Schizosaccharomyces pombe: one gene and its partner. Changing the gene in region 1 together with any one later gene gives a genetic interaction. Each region holds a gene or a part of one and is shown on either strand. Other genes may lie near its edges.

What was found.
Region 2: mutations in vsl1 (region 1) and fsv1 impair growth when combined (synthetic growth defect), as found in Schizosaccharomyces pombe (one study listed by BioGRID).

What each region holds. Positions count from the first base shown.
Region 1 is NC_003421.2:365,037-369,161, forward strand, and holds vsl1 (SNARE protein Vam7), read right to left. Parts: upstream 1,976-4,125; 5' UTR 1,954-1,975; coding exon 1,918-1,953; exon of another isoform or gene 1,882-1,917; coding exon 892-1,881; 3' UTR 562-891; downstream 1-561. Other genes in the region: Set1C PHD finger subunit Spf1, read right to left, coding at 1-442; bouquet formation protein Bqt3, read right to left, coding at 3,143-3,754, 3,804-3,959.
Region 2 is NC_003424.3:1,312,618-1,316,389, reverse strand, and holds fsv1 (SNARE Stx8), read left to right. Parts: upstream 1-1,909; 5' UTR 1,910-1,925; coding exon 1,926-2,669; 3' UTR 2,670-3,154; downstream 3,155-3,772. Other genes in the region: tvp15 (COPI-coated vesicle-associated protein), read right to left, coding at 1-291; DNA-binding transcription factor, glucose starvation sensing, Rst2, read right to left, coding at 3,707-3,772. UniProt on the Schizosaccharomyces pombe protein: Involved in vesicle-mediated protein transport between the Golgi and the vacuole.

The DNA of each region.
Region 1 (4,125 bases):
TAACGCAAGTGCCATGAAACCAATCTTCGCAACCATCACATCCTAACATCCATGATCCATCATCAGGCTTTTGGCATATACAATACAATGGTCTTTGATGATCGGCTGTAGACAGATTGAGTTGGCTATTCGCATTTCCTCGGTGTTTTCGTGGACCCCTTCTATGAGCTGATACGGGTGGTTTTTTGGGTATTGTAGGCTGTTGAATGACTTGCATTTCTATGTCTGTTTCCGTTGAGGAAGAATCAACGTGACCGTTGACTTCTTCAACCTCCATTTTAACAGATTTATTGAGAATTACGTTGGCGTCTTTCTCTTCCTCATTGTTAGCTGTCTCGATATGAAAATCAGTAATGGTGCCTCTATTCGAATCCTCAAATTTTACAATTGATTCTACATGAGTTTTTTCATTTTCCTCAGTATTCTCTTGCGTTAATTCCATTATTGGAATTTCAGTTGTCTAAGTCTGTCAATAAGTAAAATCTAAAGAAAGCGAGCTTAAGCACAGTACACTAAATGCATTAAAAGGAACTACAAGCCAAACCAAAATACAAAAGAAATGGGGTCTGTCAAAACAAGTTGAAATTTAAACAAGTCGTATATTAATATCAAGCTTAATTAAAGGAGACAATTATTTCAACCTTGACGGACGAACTAACCATGCCTATATAACTCACAGAGGTTACTGCGGTATCTTCAAGAAGATTAAACAAAAAAAAAAAAAAAGGAAAGAACGCAAATACACCAAATAATAAATATTTTTAGCCCAGATAATCTCATCCAAGACAATCACTAATGTAGCAGAATTGGATAGAAAACAAGACAAAACTGCAAAAGAAGATTCCATTAAATTTCGTGAAATTAAATCAAATACTCATAAACACCCAAATATTAACCCAATTTGCGAAGGCCAGCTCGTGTTCTGTGTAGCTTTTTTTGGTTTGCATATGCTTCATTAGAAAGCTCGTCTAACATGGAGTTTTGCTCGACAACTTCTTGATTAATCATTTTCGAAAGCTCCTTCTGCCTTTGAATAATAGGCAATAACGATTCTGCTTGCATATCTTGATCTTCCATAGTTTGATTCTGCATGTTGTACAGTCCTACATTATCAAGCTTTTTTGTTGTCTGTGTCTCTGGCATTCTGTTTTTTCCAAGGACTCTGTTCAAAGAGGTATTAGATTGTTTGTCAGTAGATGCAGATAATGGGCGAAAGGGAGAACTAGGATTAGAAGAGTTTAATTGAGATGAGGCAGAAGGAGGAGCGACTGGGCTGTTTGCATTTTTAACTAACCGTTTAAATGACAAGAATTCAGAACCAAGCTGTTCTAACATATCTTTTCGTCGAAGGATTTCTCCTGGACCAAGAGCATTTGCTAATTCTAATTTGTCTAACGATTCTGAAAGGTTATCCATTAGCGACTTTATTGCATAGACATTCTTTGTTTGAACTCCTATCGTAATGCTTTTTCCACTCATTAAGTCAACTCGGTACATATGTAAATTACGTTTACAATCTTGAAATACTTGAATCCAATCTGTCGGACCCAAAAACTGACCCTGTGTTTCATCTTCCGATTCATCTTTAATATTTAGAAATTTTTTAACCACAGGCATTTTTATCCATGGCGTTTCTGAAAGGCATTGAACGTAAGCTTGTAAAGCAAGTCGTCGAGATTCACGTAACTTTTCATTTGTCACAGTTGAAGAAACCCAAGATTTAGAGGGGAGTTTGCAAAGTCTACTGTTGTAGTCATTTGGCCGAATTTGAGCATCCAAAGCAACGAATTCATTGAACCGACGAAATACAACATGTTTCCCACCATTCGGAAATGCTACTTCAATATGGTAAACCGTCCATCGTGAATATTCATCAGAAGACTAGTTGTAAGTAAAAATTAAAGGAATAAAGCTTACTTGAGACGTTTCTGGTATTTTAATTTTTAGCGCCATACTTGCTATGAACAGGTTGATCAACAATGAGTTCATGAACAACAGACTACTGTATCGGATTTACTGCACTATCGTTATAAAACTGTATAATGTAGAATTTGAGCTTTCAAATAGTATAGGTTCTATTAGTTGAATAAAGATAAATTTCAGTTTCATGATGCTTTAGATCCTTTAAACCTCATGTTTTCCTTGATGCGCGAGATGCCTTTACGATTATCGAATTGGCAGGTATTGAAAGAAAGTTTACCAGTTTGCAATAGATTTAGAAATTAAAATAATGAATTAGGTTAGTATATTATCTTATACCTTTAAACACTTTATAGTCAGATTATTGAGTATTTTTTTTGGCACTCGTGAACGGTGCAACTTACAAGTAATTACAATACCTAAACAGAAGAACGGCAAAATCTTAACGAAGCTTAGTAATAAACAGAAATTGTTTATTTTCTATATTTTCCTACATGGATTGGTTGCAAGCGCGACTTGCCTAAAGTATTAAAAGCACAGAATAAACGCCAGATCGTAACATTATGCAAAAGTGTAAGTATAGGTAGATTCCAAATAACAACAGTACTCTGATATGCATAAAGATTTTTCACTTAAAATACATGTCATGTAAATATAAAGGCCCCACAGATGATATATAATAGTACTAGTGGAACTTAACAACTGTTTTTTCATATCACGAGAGGGAAAAATATACAGCGAAAAGACTTCTCACATTTGCTTAAAGTATAACCATATACTGCTTTTGAACGATCATCCAATTCAAACTATGCGACCCTAATAGATGAGAATAAAGGACGAAACATCCCACAATGGATATCTTTTAAAAGAGTTCGGAATCAATTTGAAACCACAGTCATTAAATTACATATATTCATAGTCAGTTCCACACATGATGTTCAACTCAGAAAGAAGAAATCTGCCTCCTTCATCAGAAATAAATTCCACCGTGAAAACGAAAAATGAAAAAGAGAAGAAAAAGGGCATTAACCTGATGAAAAAAGTTTGACGTTACCTCACTGAAATTATTGAACACGAGTAAAGACATATAGACAAATTTGGAAAATCCCATAACAGATACAATGAATTAAGATAAGCCCATGAGAACTTCCACCAGGAAGTAAACAACCAACTAACTACATTACAAGAAAAAAAATGATGTAAAAGAAACAGAACTCGAACTTTACAGAGACAATGCCCAGCAGATAAAAGTGATAATCCAAATTTGTGACAAGTAAGCACCCACCACTTGGAACATGGCGGACCAATTCATTGAAAACAAAATTGAATAAGGAATAAAGCAATTCCACAGAGTAAGGAAAATCATCAAAAATAATGATTGGGGAATAGGCCTTTCACTAAACACGACTCTTTGAATAACGTAACCAATTGGTACATGGGCAAGATATTGTAACGGGAGCGGAGGGGCAACGAGACTAGTAACAACGTTATGGGAGTTTCCAAGAATAAGACCGTTTAAGAATATCTTTTGTGATATATAATTAAGCACGCTGATCAATACACTCGCCATAATTGTGAATAGGAAAGAGACACTATACTGTGTGTTGACTTGGTTTGAACATTTGATGGGGTTAGCTCTAGAGAAACAGCGCGCCACTAGCAAAGAAATGGCGTCAATTATGAATGCCCAAGCAATTTGACTCAAAGGAGTAAGGTAGTAGGTCGAGAGAAGCACGTATACTGGATATTTCGTAAGTAAAAGCCATCCATAACCTAGGTTGAATTTCTGCAACAGAAGAGATTGACCAACGTGCATAATAATTGATAAATAACTCTTTCAATCCATTGTTAGTAAATCTAAACTTATATAATGATCTGCATACCATCCAGTAAGGAATATCACTTTCCACCACCCCCGTGGAAGCTAATAATCGTGGATTGAGGTGATAATTTAGCAAGCCATAAGTTAACGTGTGTAAAAATAGGTAAATGGACACCTTTATGGTGTTTGAAGACGAACAGCACTTCGATCCTGACATTTTGCGAATATTGGTAGTTTTCATATAGTTTGTCATCGATGAACACACAAGTAACGATTGATCAGGTAACAGTATCTTCAAACAATGGAGTCTGTGAAATGGTAAATAATGAATCAGCAGGAAACCAGGATCCTTTGAATTTAGGTAGTAAGTCTATGGAAAACCA
Region 2 (3,772 bases), on another chromosome or scaffold:
AAGAACTAAAAAGCCTAGGAAAGAAGTAAACCCGGAGTAAGAAAAGAGTAAAGTACCCATGAAAGCGTAGAAGAAGCCCCTTCCTAAGAATGAGAACATGAACGATCCATATTTAATAGCAATAGGAGGAATTTCCTTTTCTAAACCAATAGTTCCCAAACCGAAAACGATGATGAACAATGCAAGTAAAGCGTTTACGAAGCTAAATGAAAATAACTTGATAAATCCGCTTAAAACGAAGATACCACCTACGCCCAAATTAATGGCACTAAACATTTTTGTTTTATCCATTGTGAATTAAGTGTATGCAACCAATATTAAATTTTTCAAGCAATATGTATTTTAGTCGATGTTTGCTTAAAGACAAAGAGAAATGCAAGTTACTAAGCCTGCCTATGCTTACCGATGCGGTCATGCATATTTACGAACTATTGAAATACGGTAAATAAAAATAACGAATTCCATAATTCTCAACCAACTTTTTGTTGTTTACAGAAAATGAATAATTCAATTCATCGAAAATGCATTTTGTTTTCTATAGCATTCTTTGTACTGTTTTTGAAGTTAAAAACACTATCATTTAGTAAATAATGTACTTTCGACCCGGCTTTTTTTTGAGACAACTGTTGTTGACAATTTTAAGGTCTGTGGGTCAATTTATATATTTGTCAAACGTTCGTAAACAAATGTATTTGTATCTTAGTTTCATACGAGCTCCTTTAGCTATATGTGATCTACTCTCACTCGGGATCTACAGGGCTGTAAAATTTTTTGCACTCAAGTTTCACGCGATTATTATCAGATGCACCTGAATAAAAAAGAATAAAGTAAAATAAAAAGCCGAATGTTTTATAACGTAGTAAAATTCCTTCTTATTTTGATCGCTTTGCCATTCATTTGATTATGTTTATAATGATAATTTCACGTGCAATGTCAACTTTGATAGACGGCTACATCTATTTCTAATTCGTAACGCTATAAAAAAAAACTCCATTTTAAACTGAGAATAAAGCAAGAAGTCGATTAGCCGAATATAGATATCAGCATGATTCGTTTTAAACGGCCCAAAGCCTTGTATATATTTGAGTAATTTTCTACTGTACTTAATTGTCTGTAATTAAACAACTATTTGTTACTCCTACCTTGTTACACTTGGATTTAATACTCTGGAATTAGTGTACTAACTCCTAAATAAATATTTAAGTAGTATTTTTCTTTAAGATATTTCTTTAATAAACATTCTCTTCTAATGAAAAGAAAAGCGTCATTATTGGTATTTTAGTTTTCAGAGCAAAGAGGTACTTAACATTTATTATGTCGCAATTATTTTATATATATATTATATTAATATTTTGTAATGAGAAACCTAGGCCTAATAGTGTAGTGGTTAACATACCTCTTTCGGGTAATCCCCACTTGTATGCTGAGTTTAGAGGTGATCCCTGGTTCGAATCCTGGTTAGGCCCCTTTTTATACTGGGCTTGCTGTATAAATTTATCTGATTAATTTTGAAACTACGCAAACCAACTTTCAATAATTAAAAAGTTTTCCTTACACCTTGCTTGATTACCTTTTAATAGATGTGAAATAAGAACTACTAAATTTGTGATAAATACCGAAAACAATCAGAAGAGTCGAAAAGAAGCATTCAAAAAATTGTGTAAATAACGAGTAGGTTTCTAATAATACGATAATTTCACAGGATGCCTATAATGGATCTGGCAGCTAATGAGCAAATCATTTTTACTTTTTTTTTTATTTAAAACATACGAAAAGATTCTCTTTTTTTGCTGCAAACAAAATTTACTGTAATTGAACCTAGAATTGGTAGCAAAGGCATTACACCGTATTACTGTAAACTTCACTAATGTTTGTGTTTTTAGGCGCATGATGAACATGATTACTCAAGAAAGTAACCAGCGACTATGTCAAATTTGCTTCTGATCATTGACTCGGTTTCACAAAAAATAAGAGACAGGAGGAAGTTGGAAGAGTTTGGACAGAATCCCGATGAAGAAATTGAGTCTTCATTGAAAGATGTTCGGCAAGAATTGCAAAAACTTAATGAGGAGCAATCGCGATTAGAGAAAAATGCACAAATCCCAGAGTACAGAGTACGAGAATCCGAAGCATTTCTTATTAGAATGCAAAGGAGGTTAGAGTCTGCTGAGGAAGAGTTTGAGAAGCAGCGGCGTGCATCCTCAATTCCTGCTGACGGAACAAGTGCCTTTTCTGCAAACCCGCAAGTTGCAAGTACGAATAATAAGTTAACTCCCCTTCCTTCTTTACAAAAAACGACTTCGAGTAGTGAGGGATCTGATATTGAGATGGAGGCCATGTATCCGGTTGATGGCAATGACCCTGATCCCATAAACGTAAACGTTTTGGCTCAAATGCATCAGCAAATGCTCAACGAACAAGAAGAATCTTTAGGAGGGATCGAAGCAAGTGTCCAAAGGCAAAAGCGGATGGGATATGCAATGAATACAGAATTGTCCGAACAAAATGTTTTACTAGATAATATGAATAATGATGCTGATCGAATTGAGAGGAGGTTTGATCATGCAAAAAATCGATTAAACAAGGTCAGCCGAAAGGCTAAACAGTATCCCAGATGCTTTATTATTTTGCTCCTTTGTGCGTTGTTATTACTTGTGGCTTCCATTTAGGGTGCAAATAAATATCACTTAGCAATTGTACTTGCTGTAACTCTGTTACACTTTCACTTAATTCTTTTATTTCACGTCCTCTTTGAACTAGGCTATATAGTTCTTTTATTTATATTTAATAACCGTGATATTTACGAACTTTTTTTTTACGATTTTGAAAATGTTTTTGTGATCTTCAACTTCTTTTGCTAAACGAACCTTCCCTTTATAGGGAATACAGAAATTAACTTTTTCGTACATTCCAGTTTCTAACCATTGACTGTCTTTCTACTTTAGTAATTATTTTTCTGCTAGCGCATTTCTTATCGAAATCATTTTTGTGTTCTTTTAAGGGCCGTCCCCCTTGTTCACAAAGCTAGTTTTGACGACTTAAATCAAGTGAATATAGTGCATGCAGAGTGAATGCTTAATAACCATTTGTTACAAACTTTGTTTCGCTAATAACTCCTTATTTGACATTTGAATAAATAACCTATTAGACTTTCAAAATTTTTAGATTCAGGGCAGTAAACAATAAACAACAATATCTTCAATTAGCTGTATCAATTTATTTTCAGAAGTTTTGCTATATTATTCCTTCATCTCATTAAAAAATATTCTCTTCTATTATTAAACATACGTAGTCATGTTATCATTATCATTATTAAGGAAAAGTTTGAACGAGTAGATTCTTTCTTGAGAATTAAGGGAACATGTGCTTGAATGCCATTTTTTTCATCTTAAATATAAAGCCTCCGTTGCTATTGTTAACCATATCACGCTGAACCTTTTTTGATAATAAAATATCAGAAGCAACCCTCTTAACTAATGTGTTGTGAACCTCTCAGCATTGCATATCTTAGCGTAATTAAATATTCGGTAAAAGAGGATCGTTTTCCTATCAACAATTGAACCCCAAATCAAAATATTCAAAACTTCAGATCAATCCTTAAATTAATTAAAAACCGAATCAAAGCTAGTTGATTTTTGTTTAAAAAAACTAAAAGATGCATTTCATTAAGAAACAAATAGTATAAAATATAAAGATATGAAAAAAATTAAAATGAGGGCGGTTGATTCCGATTATTATCTGTAAGCAAACCGGAAGTTTCGGATACAGGATA